Oryctolagus cuniculus: one gene and its partners. The protein of the gene in region 1 purifies or fractionates together with the protein of each later gene. This does not show direct contact. Links are inferred from orthologs where the notes say so. Each region holds a gene or a part of one and is shown on either strand. Other genes may lie near its edges. The genes, in order: PHLPP2, WDR20 and USP1.

Evidence for each region.
Region 2: the proteins of PHLPP2 (region 1) and WDR20 purify together in Homo sapiens (affinity purification with mass spectrometry; 4 studies listed by BioGRID and IntAct, with this or other methods). This does not show direct contact. The link is inferred for Oryctolagus cuniculus from reciprocal best matches to the Homo sapiens genes PHLPP2 and WDR20.
Region 3: the proteins of PHLPP2 (region 1) and USP1 purify together in Homo sapiens (affinity purification with mass spectrometry; 3 studies listed by BioGRID and IntAct, with this or other methods). This does not show direct contact. The link is inferred for Oryctolagus cuniculus from reciprocal best matches to the Homo sapiens genes PHLPP2 and USP1.

The regions. Positions count from the first base shown.
Region 1 is NC_091449.1:55,608,595-55,612,238, forward strand, and holds part of PHLPP2 (PH domain leucine-rich repeat-containing protein phosphatase 2), read left to right. Parts: intron 1-2,158; coding exon 2,159-2,269; intron 2,270-3,070; coding exon 3,071-3,265; intron 3,266-3,644. UniProt on the Homo sapiens protein: Protein phosphatase involved in regulation of Akt and PKC signaling.
Region 2 is NC_091451.1:45,407,038-45,410,781, forward strand, and holds the start of WDR20 (WD repeat-containing protein 20), read left to right. Parts: upstream 1-1,151; 5' UTR 1,152-1,308; coding exon 1,309-1,557; intron 1,558-2,239; exon of another isoform or gene 2,240-2,389; intron 2,390-3,744. UniProt on the Homo sapiens protein: Regulator of deubiquitinating complexes. Activates deubiquitinating activity of complexes containing USP12. Anchors at the base of the ubiquitin-contacting loop of USP12 and remotely modulates the catalytic center of the enzyme.
Region 3 is NC_091438.1:110,376,352-110,380,095, reverse strand, and holds the start of USP1 (ubiquitin carboxyl-terminal hydrolase 1), read left to right. Parts: upstream 1-1,202; 5' UTR 1,203-1,703; intron 1,704-2,065; exon of another isoform or gene 2,066-2,205; intron 2,206-3,005; exon of another isoform or gene 3,006-3,145; intron 3,146-3,744. UniProt on the Homo sapiens protein: Negative regulator of DNA damage repair which specifically deubiquitinates monoubiquitinated FANCD2. Also involved in PCNA-mediated translesion synthesis (TLS) by deubiquitinating monoubiquitinated PCNA.

The DNA of each region.
Region 1 (3,644 bases):
TTTATTTGTTTCTGGTCACAAAACACAGGAAGTGGCCGGTGCCGCAGCTCAATAGGCTAATCCTCCGCCTTGTGGCGCTGACACACTGGGTTGTAATCCTGGTCAGGGTGCCGGATTCTGTCCCGGCTGCCCCTCTTCCAGGCCAGCTCTCTGCTGTGGCCAGGGAGTGCAGTGGAGGATGGCCCAAGTCCTTGGGCCCTGCACCCGCATGGGAGACCAGGAGAAGCACCTGGCTCCTGGCTTCGGATCAGCGTAGTGCGCTTGCCACAGCGCACCAGCCGCAGCGGCCATTGGAGGGTGAACCAACGGCAAAGGAAGACCTTTCTCTCTGTCTCTCTCTCTCACTGTCTACTCTGCCTGTCCAAAACAAAACAAAACAAAACACAGGAAGTTGCGAGGGCAGTGGGTGTTCCCAGTGGCTGCCCTCTTCCTGGTCTGTACACCTTGTACACAGCGCCCCAAGCTGTTTCTCCCATTCTAACAGCTGCAGAGTATGGGGAGCAGGCAGGATGCTGAGCCACAGACCCCTACCCCCCACTTACAATGTGGGGACACCCCTCGGGTGAGCGCTCCAGCTCACCCCTGCGTATCTGCCACAGACCAGCCCTGTCTACACAGCCCCTAGGGGCTGCACCTTGCAGCAGTGAAGTAGTCAGTCTATTTGTGTTAAAACTACTACATGGCTACCACACAAACATATGTCTGGTATTTTTACATATTAGGCATAAATATATTAGTTGGTACAGATTGCATTACAACATCTGTAAGATGTACGAGTTCTTTGTACCTGTATCAAAATGTGTAAAATAAGTAGATATGACTGAAGCATAGAAATCTTTGTTTTGCTGAGATCTTGATTGAAAAGAATGGCATTAATTTTGACAGTGTTTGGCCCCTATTTCTTCTTGCTGCACCTTTTCTTTTTTTTTTCCTCCTGGTTAGGGGGTGGGGGCACTTGGCTGCTCTACTTCCAATCCAGCTTCCTGATAATAGAGCCTGAGGAGGCAGTGGATGATGGTTCAAGAATTTGGGCCCCTTTCACCCATGTGGGAGACCTGGATGGAGTCTCTGGCTCCTAGCTTTGACCTTGCCCAGTCCTGGCTGTTGTGGGTATTTGGAGAGTGAATCACAGGATGGAAGATTTCTCTGTGTCTCCTCCCCTCTCTGTTGTTCTGCCTTTCAAATAAGCTGCTGCTTGGTATGCTAGCATCCTAGATTGGGGTACCAGCTTGAGTCACAGCTGTCTGCTTCTGATCCATCTCCCTGCGAACTTGCCTGATGGAGTTCTGAGCACCTGGCTTCAGCCTGGCCTAGCTCTGACCATTGGAGGAGTGAACCAGCAGATGGAAGAGCCTTCTCTCTTTCTCCATTTCTGTCTCTCTCTTTCTCTCCCCACCACCCGTGTTACTCTGCCTGTGAAATAAATAAATACTTAAGAATTAATCCTTAGGGTTGGCATTTTGGTACAGTGGATAGAGCTGCTGCATCCCAGTGGGTGCCAGTTCGTGTCCTGGCTACTCTACTTCCAATCCAACTCCTTGCTGATGGCCTGGGAAAGGCAGCAGAGGATGGCCCAAGTGTTTGGACCTCTGCACCCATGGCTCAGCCCTAACTGTTGCTGCCCCTTGGAGAGTAGAACAGCAGATGAAAGACTTTTATTCCATCCTTCCTTTCTTTGTTTCTTTCTCCTTTTTTTCTGTATTTTTCTTTCTAAGATAGAATTACAGAGAGGCAGAGAGAAAGAGAGGTTTCCTATCCACTGGTTCACTCCCCAAATGTCTGAAACGGCCAGAGCTGTGCTGATCCAAAGCCAGGAGCCAGGAGCTTCTTCCAGGTCTCCCATGTGGCTGCAAGGGCCCAAGGACTTGGGCCATCTTCCACTGCTTTCCCAGGCTGTAGCAGAGAGCTGGATCAGAAGTGGAGCAGCCAGGGCTCAAACTGGCACCCATATGGGATGCCAGCACTGCAGGTGGCAACTTTACCCACTATGCCACAGCACCAGCCCTGAAAGACCCTCTTTGTCTCTCCCTCTGCAGCTCTCTCAGGTAAATAAAGAATTTTTGAAAAGAATTAATCTTAACACATGATATCTTTGGGAGAGTTTTCATCAAAGACAGTCTAATATATGGCTTAATCTTCTCTTCTTTCACCTCAACAGCCATATCACAACACTAAAAATTGATCAGAAACCTTTGCCAACCACAGATTCTACCATTACATCAACCTTCTGGAGCCACGGACTGGCTGAGATGGCAGGACAGAGAAATAAGTGAGTGTGTTGACTGTGAAGACTGAGTTCAAGAACTGGCAGCCCCTGGTGTCTCAGATGTCTCTGGTGCTCCTAGTGAGGCCCTGATGTTCTGTTGCACATAAGCATATCAGCATGTCAGCTCACATAAGATCCTTCTGAGACTATGCTAAAGTGAGACAAATGTGCGTGTGCAGTCCACAGAATACCAAACACCTCCTCTCATGGCTAACATGGGTGTTTGCTTCTTAGGTTATCAATTACAGCTTTATCCTTGTGTTAAATTTCCTTCCCTGTCAACAAAGTTGAAATACCCAACTGTGGAGTCGTCCTGCTTTCTCTTAGCACCCAACCTAGTGTGATCCTCCACTTCCTAGAGCCCTGCCCAGTGACCCAACCAAAGCCCAAATCTTATACTCGTTTCTGTCCAACATCCTCTTACCAGTACGCCCCATGGTTTCATGGACTAGCATTCACCCTTGCTGCAAGGTCTAATAAACCCGGCTTGTCTAGTTACAGATGTGCTTTGGGGTTCTTGGGCTGAAGGGTTTTGACAAAATCCAGTTCTTAATCACTACCATGAGAAAATACATTATCTTCCAGCCTTGGGCAGCACTGCAAAACTATGTACTGCCCATGAGTGTGGCAAGACACGCCTTTCCTTAGGACATCACTGTTTTAGATTCTGCTGGATTATTTTCTCTAGGGACTTTCTCACATGTAAATTGAGAGTTACTGCTGTTCTGCTCCAACTTCAGTTGGAGAATAATCTGTTACCAAACACTTTCTTTGATGATTGTCTTTCTTCTGTTTCTGCTCTAGGCTGTGTGTATCTGCTCTAGCTATGGATAACTTGGCAGAGGGTGTGGGAGCCGCGTATGGCATGTTTGACGGCGACCGGAACGAGGAGCTCCCTCGCCTGCTGCAGTGCACGATGGCAGACGTGCTGTTGGAAGAGGTACAGCAGTCAGCACATGACACCGTTTTCATGGCGAGCACCTTCTTGGTGTCTCACAGGTAAGCAGATGGGTTGAATAATCCCTAACTCAGTTCTGCTTTTGGAAAGTCAGTCTCTGTAAGCCAGAAGATTAGGATCTGGATCCAGGACAGATCCCACTCCTTCTGTGATCCTGCTGTGGCTTGGAAGTGGGGACTTTGGCTCTTTAAAGAGCCACAGGAGTCATCTGCATTGTTTATATGTATGTGTGTGGAGGAAGGGAGGAAGGGGGTAAGGTTTCATCAGATTCTCCAGAGAGTCTGTGACCTCTAAGTACTTAACAAGCACTGATTAGGTTCATGTGTTTTGCGTACTTGTTATTGGGTACATACCCAGCTAATCTCCTCAAAGTCTAAGTCAATGGAGGTCAAAACTGTATGTAACAAAACTGCTGAAAAT
Region 2 (3,744 bases), on another chromosome or scaffold:
CTCTGACTCCCCCTCCCCAGGGTGAACCCCGGCTGGCGGCTCTGACTCCCCCCTCCCCAGGGGTGAACCCCGGCTGGCGGCTCTGACACTCCTCTCCCCCCTCCCCAGGGTGAACCCCGGCTGGCGGCTCTGACACCCTCCCCAGGGATGAACCCCCGGCTGGCGGCTCTGACTCCCCCCTCCCCAGGGTGAACCCCGGCTGGCGGCTCTGACTCCCCCCTCCCCAGGGTGAACCCCCGGCTGGCGGCTCTGACTCCCCCCTCCCCAGGGTGAACCCCGGCTGGCGGCTCTGACTCCCCCCTCCCCAGGGTGAACCCCGGCTGGCGGCTCTGACACTACCCCCTCCCCAGGGTGAACCCCGGCTGGCGGCTCTGACTCCCCCCTCCCCAGGGTGAACCCCGGCTGGCGGCTCTGACTCCCCCCCAGGGGGAACCCCCTTCCTTGGTGACCCCCCGACGACGTCAGCACGCAGGAACTGGTCATTCTCGGTGCGGCAAGCACTGGCTCTGCCCCGGAATGCCATCAGAACGTCACCCTAGAAGCGCGTTAGCGCACGCCAGCGGCTGTCCGCGGTCACCGCGACCCTCGCACACCTGGACTTCGCGGGTCCGCGTGGGGCATTTCTAAACTCAATTCCGCTCATCTCGTTGAGGGCGCCTAAGCAGCTACGAAGCAACAGGAATGATCCGGCTCCCCGCGCTGCCCCGCGCGCCTCACGCCTCAGACGGCCAGTCCACACACACCGTCCTCCCCCGCACGACTCCGCCGCAGGGGCTCCGGGCCGCGGCACGGGCCGGTCGCGAGGGTCCTCCGGGCCCGCGGGGCGGGACAGCCCCCAGCCCGCGGCGAGAGCGCCACCCCCGCCGCCCGCGGCTTCCTCACGAGCCGACCCCTCGGGGCGCGGCGCCCTCCCCTCAGCGCCGCAGGGCCGGAAGCAGCCGAGGAGGCCGCCCTCACTCACTCCCGCCGCGGCTCTCCCTTACCGGCGCTCCCGCGGCACCCGCAGCCCCGCCAGCGCCTCGGCACCCCGAGCCCGCGACCCCAGGACGCAGCCGCGGCGCCGCGAGACGACGCCCGGGGGAGGAGCCGGCGCACGCCCCGCCGCGTGGAGCCGCCGGGGCAGCGCGCGTGCGCAGTCGGGCCGTAAACAAGCCCGCCCCGTCCCCTCGGCCCGCCTCCGTGGGGCTGGCCCGCGGGTGGGCGGGGCCAGAGGGGAGAGGCGGGGGGAGGAGAGCGAACGCCGGGGACGGCGCCTGCGCGGTGGGCGTGATCCGGGCACTTAGGGCAGGATGAACGCTGCTTTCCAAGATGGCGACGGAGGGAGGAGGGAAGGAGATGAACGAGATTAAGACCCAATTCACCACCCGGGAAGGTCTGTACAAGCTGCTGCCGCACTCGGAGTACAGCCGGCCCAACCGGGTGCCCTTCAACTCGCAGGGATCCAACCCTGTGCGCGTCTCCTTCGTAAACCTCAACGACCAGTCTGGCAACGGCGACCGCCTCTGCTTCAATGTGGGCCGGGAGCTCTACTTCTATATCTACAAGGGGGTCCGCAAGGTACCGACCCGGGCGTCACCGGGGCCCGCCGGCGGCGTGGGCGGAGGCCGGGGGCAGGGCGGTGACAGCGGGGCCGGGGTGACCGGCAGGGGTGGCCGTCGCTCTTACTTTGGAGTGGGCCGGCAACTCCGCTGAGGGACTCCCGAGGAAAGGGGGCTCGGGAGTGGGCAGGGTGGTGGCGTCGGCGCTCCGAGGGCGTGGGGGCCGGGGGCCGGCGCCGGGCGTGCGGGGTTCCGGCTGGGAGGCCTGGGAGCCGGCCGCCTCGGCTCCGGCGGGGTCCGCCGGGCGCTGACACGGCCAGGAGCGGGCCTGCGGGGCGAGGTGGCCGGCCCGCCCGCCTGGCTTCCCCGGAGGGGTGGGAGTCCCGCCGGGGCTCGGGGAGGGGTCTGTCAGCCTGGAGCGGGTCGGAAAGGACCTTCTGGGCACGCAGGGCTGCTCCACCTGCGGCCGCACTGACACTTCCCGACCGCCGTTTCCAAAAACGTCCGCGGAGCTCGGCTGTCACCGCCCCGCCCCGGGCGGCCTCCCGGCCGATTGCTGGGGAGGGGTCGTCCTGCCCCTCGTGGGGTGGGCTGGGCCGAGCGCCGCGGTTGCGGGCTGGAATCGGTGTTCTCGGTGGCCGGAGCTGGTGCAGCGGGGCTCTGTGTGAGCCTGCCCGGATTAGCCTGGTCCAACAAGTCGGACTGTGTCCCGCACGGGCAGGGAGGTGCCTGAAAGCTGCTGTGAAGGACCCGTCTCCTGGGGCGGCTCAGCAGGGACTCTGGAGTCTGTGATCTTCCTTTACAGCGATCTCTTTAAGAGCAGCGATTTGCGAGGGCTTTTCTTTCTCTGTGTGAGTAACTGTCCTCCCTGAGAGGTGGCCTTCGACTTGGCTCCTGGCGGGGCGAGGAGACCGTGGTAAAGCACCGTTTGTACACGTGCAGTGAGTGTGGAAACGGCGCCTGCCACAGGCACGAGCGGACGGGCCCTGTGATTTCACAGACCCGGACCCAGGGTCGTGTTTCTTCCTGCTTACCGGGGCTGGGAAGCTGACAGCCCTGTCTAAATGGAGCAGGTTGTCCCTTCCCTTGGGGCGAGCCTTTGCTAGTGCACTGCTGGGTTTGACGGTGGGGTATGCGGTCCCCCTCCGCTTTCGGCCGGAAGTCTGAGGTGTGGTAGCCCAAGTTTTCCTCCTGTTCTCAACATTGTCACCAACTTAGCTTGTCGGGTGACCTTGGTAAGTTACTTAGTTTCTACTGCCCCTCTTTAAAAAGGAACTATTGCAGTGTGTGTGTGTTATAATTAATAATAAGCTCACTGCAATGAGCTCGAGAGCCCTGAAACACTAGCAGATGTAAGCTATAGTTAAACAGGCGTGAAGAGTGATGTCCAACAGGAAGCTGCCATCTTGACATCCATGCTAGGACTGCAAGGATCAGTGCTTTCTCTGGAGATAAATTAAGGATTTTAGGTTATTAACAGCTGTATTTATATGAAAGGGCGATGTGCTTAAAACCAAGTTCATTGACACTAGCAGTGCTAGTGCAGACATTATTTGAAAAGAAATTTCTTTGAAAGATTAGTATTGATGAAGGATTTTAATGGCAAACCTTATCTGGATCTGGTATCCCTGGATGGCACCATAATAACAGGTCTTCACACCTGAAATTATCGTTATATTAGTGCTCCTTTTTTAAATTGGGACACTCTTCACTGAAGGGTGAAACTAAGAGAGCTTTTCAAAGCTTCAAAGGAATTATTTTAAACAAGTTATTTTTAGTAACTTCTAATACAAAACCCCAGACAAATCTGAAATACATAAGTTGCCCTCATATGCATAGTTTGAGCACTTTACCTGTTTTTTTTTTTTTTTTTTGTAAATTCTTACTTTTATGTGGGAGGTGGGAGTAACTTTTTTGAAAAAAAATTTATTTATTTATTTGAAAGAGTTACTGACAAAGAGAGCACAAAGAGAGGGAGAGAGAAAGAGAGAGAGGTCCTCCATCTGCTGGTTCATTCCCCACATGGCTGCAGTGGCCAGGGCTGGGCCAGGCTGAAGCTGGGAGTCTGGAGCTTCTTCCCGGTTTCCTACTTGAGTGCAGCGGTCTAAGCACTTGGGCCATCTTCCACTGCTTTCCCAGGCCATCAGCAGGGAGTTGGATTGGAAAGTGGAGCAGCCGGGACTTGAACCAATGATGGTGGTGCTGT
Region 3 (3,744 bases), on another chromosome or scaffold:
GGCACATCAAAAAGTTTGTGTCACATAAAAACGGAATTAAAAGAAAAGTTTAGGGGCAAGCACTGTGGTGCAGCTGGTTTAGTAGCCGCCTGCAACGCCGGCATCTCATGAGCGCCTGCTTTGCACTCTGGCTGCTCTGCTCTGGATCCAGCTCCCTGATAACATACCTGGTAAAGCAGCAGCAGATGGCCCAAGCGCTCCGGCCCCTGCCACCCATGTGGGAGACTGAGGTGGCGCTCCTGGCTCCTGGCTCCGGCCTGGACTAGCTGCAGCTGTTGCCACCACCTGGGGAGTGAACCAGCAGATGGAAGCTCTCTCTCTGCCTTCAAATATGGATTTTTTAAAAAAAGATAAGTTTACTATGGGGCAAACAGTTTCTTAAATCTATGCATATGAGAAGTCTTCAAAAGGTCAAGGAAAATGTGTATAATGAAAAATTATGTATGGATTTCTTTTTCTGCACAAAATGGACTTATCTTTTAATTTCAATTTTCCACGAACTTTTTGAAGTACCCTCATACTTATTTCTTTTTTCCATCTTCTGAGGAAATCTTTTTCATTAACTTGGTAAGGGAAAGTATAACAGAAAACCAAACATTATCTGGTTGCTTGGGGGGGGTGGGGACTGTCATCTTTGATCTCTTTTTTCTTACCATACCATGCTTCCGGTCACTCAACGAAGCTGGTTGGCTGTACTTCAAATATAGTGGAGGCGTTTGGCCTAATGGTTAAGACACCAACTGGGATGTCTGCCCCCCATCTCAGAGTGCCTGTCTTTGCCTCTCCATTGGCCTCCTGTTCCCGTTTCCCGCTGCGGCGGCACCTGGGGAGGCAGCAGGTGATGGCTCCAGCAGTTGAGTCCCTTCCAGCCAAGCGAGAGATCTGGGTGCGTTCGGAGCTTCCAGCTTTGGCCTGACCCAGTCTCAGCTGCTGTTAAGATCTGGGCAGTGACTTTCTCTTTCTCTGTCATGTATATGGCTATGTGTCTATATGTATGGATATATGTATATCCATGTGCGTATATGTATGTATAATCTCTTGAATCTCACGTTCTGAGCACTTCCATTTATCACAAGTCACCAGTTTACTCCTTGGCCACCGAAATCAGCCCCCTAGTGGAGCTTCCTGCTTGCATTCTTGAAGGTCAAAGGTCTGTCCACCGCGGCGGGGGGGGGGGGGGGGGGGGACTGTTTCACAAATCCTGCCCCTGCCGGCTGAGCACCACCCAGCGCCTTCCACCCCGGCCTGCTGCGTGGGGGCCCAGCCGGTTTCGCTCATCTCCTGCGTGTAGTCTTCTCACCCAGGCTCACACGCTCTCAGGAGCCTGGCTACCTCACCTCTCTGCAAAACACCAAACGCGTCCAGGACTTTGTATCTGCTGTTCTTGCCGCCGGGACCATTCTTCCCCTTGGGTCCCTCCCGGGCTCGCTCTGCTCAGCCGTCAACTGCAGGGCGCTTTCCCGAATATGCCACCTAAAACGGCATGCCCCTGCTGTCGCTTCCATCGTGTGTGCCCATTTTTAGTTTAACGTCTGTCTCCTCTCGAATGTACAACTCCTTTAGCGCAAGGAACGTATTTCATTCAGGCCACAGTCCTAAGCGTTTTGAAAAATGCCGGGCACACAGCAGAACCGAAACATTCGGATTTGGACTAAATCTCTCCTGCTTAACTTCAGCACTTGCGCCGAGGTCGCGCCGCACAGGTAAGCACACAAACACAAAAGGGCACCCGAGCCGCCTGCTTCGCTGCTTTTGAGCCTCCGAGCGGCGGCTCGGGTCGGAACCGCTGTGTGGCCCACGGCGGGTCGGGCTCGAGAGGACACCGTGAGGCGATCGGCGTCTGAGGAAGGAGCCTCGCCCTAAAGCACTCTGCTGAGGCTCCGCCGTCCTCCGTGACGGCGCTGGTTTTCTCTAGACGGCCCTGGGGCCGGGGCTGCTGCCCGTGACAGAAAGCCCACGCACGGAGCAGGACGCGGCGCGGCCTCCATTTCCCGTAGCCGGTCTCCCTGGTAACCCCGCCCGAGCGTTCACGCAAGAAAGGAGGGCGGGGCTCGCGGGGAGGGCCTAGCTCCGGAAGCCGCGCCCTCGCCGGCGTCCCTCGGGCCAACACTACGCACAGCTAGACTCTTAACAGTCGGCCGCGAAAGCGCGCACGCGAGCGCCAATGAGAGCGAGAGGCGGGGAGCCGCGCCTGAGGAACTCGGTGTAAGTCTCATAAGGATTGGCCCGAGCCTTTCTGTCTTCTTTGTTGGTATTGGCTGGATTTCTTTCTCCCGCCCATTTGCTAGCTTTTGTCTGGGTACTTCTGATTGGCTCTGCCTGGGCAGTGAAGGGGGTGAGGTTTTGGGGATGCTTCGTCGCGGATTGGCGGATTTGAGCACCTAAGGGCTCCTCCTTGAGGAAGGGGGCCCGGCCCATCTTGCCTCTGTCCCGTCTCCCGACCCGTACTCGTAACTCGCGCGCACGAATGGTTAAAAAAAAAAAAAAAAAAGGGTGTGAGGCTCGAGCCCGCCAGCCAGGCCTCCAGTGCGCGCCCTCAGCGAGGACCCGCGCGAGCTGCCCGAGACTGTGCCTGCGGTGTTTGAAAGTGCGGAACCCGTTAGGATCTTGGGGGAGCTACCGTTCCAGCTGGTTCCGGAGCCCGTGCGCGCCGGGGGCCAGGGGCGGTCGCGGGGCGGCCCTGGTGTTTCGCGTCTGTGCAGCGTGGAGGCGAGGACCGGCATTTTCGAAGGACGCCACCTTCAATCGCAGTGCTGGCGCGGGCGGAGGCTAACACACGGGGGTCCTGAGACTGAGGAAAACGCGCCAAGTTCCCCTCGGCGGTGGAGTGGGGAGACCCTAGCGGTTCAGGCGCTCGGCGAGCGGGACCGCGGCTTGGTGCGCTCTTTGGCACCCGGGGCGGGCGCGGGCAGGCGCCGCTCCGGGCATGTAGTGGGCGCAGGCATCAGGCAGGACCGAGCGGCGGCCCGGGTTCCCGCCCTTGTGAGTGGATGGTCACTCCCCCGCGGGGAGGGCGACCGGCCAAGCTTTTCCTTGGGTCGGGGGCCCTGCGGGCTCGGGCCAGGGACTCACCTGCCGCACCCACACTCTTCCCGGCTGGACTCGCCGGCGTCAGCGCCGCGGACCGCGTTTGGGCCATGGCCAGGTGAGGAGGGCCTGAGAAGGGGTTGGTGCTCTGCGTGGAGGCAAGTTCCGCGGGCAGCGTAGTGGGGCTGCGGGCAAGACCCCGGACCGTTTCGTTTCGGTCCTGCACCCTCGCCGCGCTGCCGGCCGGGGCTCCGCGGCGGCTCTTGCAGTCGGGGAGGCAGGTGCGGGCTGGGCGTACACAGGCCGGCTCCACGGGCGCGGGGCCGGAGCGCGGTGCGGGCCACGGCGCCGCCAGCCGCCCCCACCGTGCCCCCGGGGTGTGTGAAGGGCACGGCCGCCTTCTCGGTTTCCTCTCCCGTGGAGCCCGATAGGGAGAAGCAGTACTGATTGCCCTGACGTTGCCTTCGGACGGCAATTGCGAAATTTTACCGCGCGTTTTCTTTCATGTATAGTTTCCTCAGTATTTAGAACGCCACGTGTCTTAAAACTTCAGCGGAGATGTTCGGGATTGTTTTACGTTTCTTCTGGAAAAATAGGAATTGAGTCCTGTCATCTTAGAAAGGAAAGAACTTGAAACTGATAGGGCTGAGTGTTCGTGCTGTCATTTGTTCGAGAATGTTTACTGTCGGAGGCATTGTTTTCTGCGTTAGTGGATTT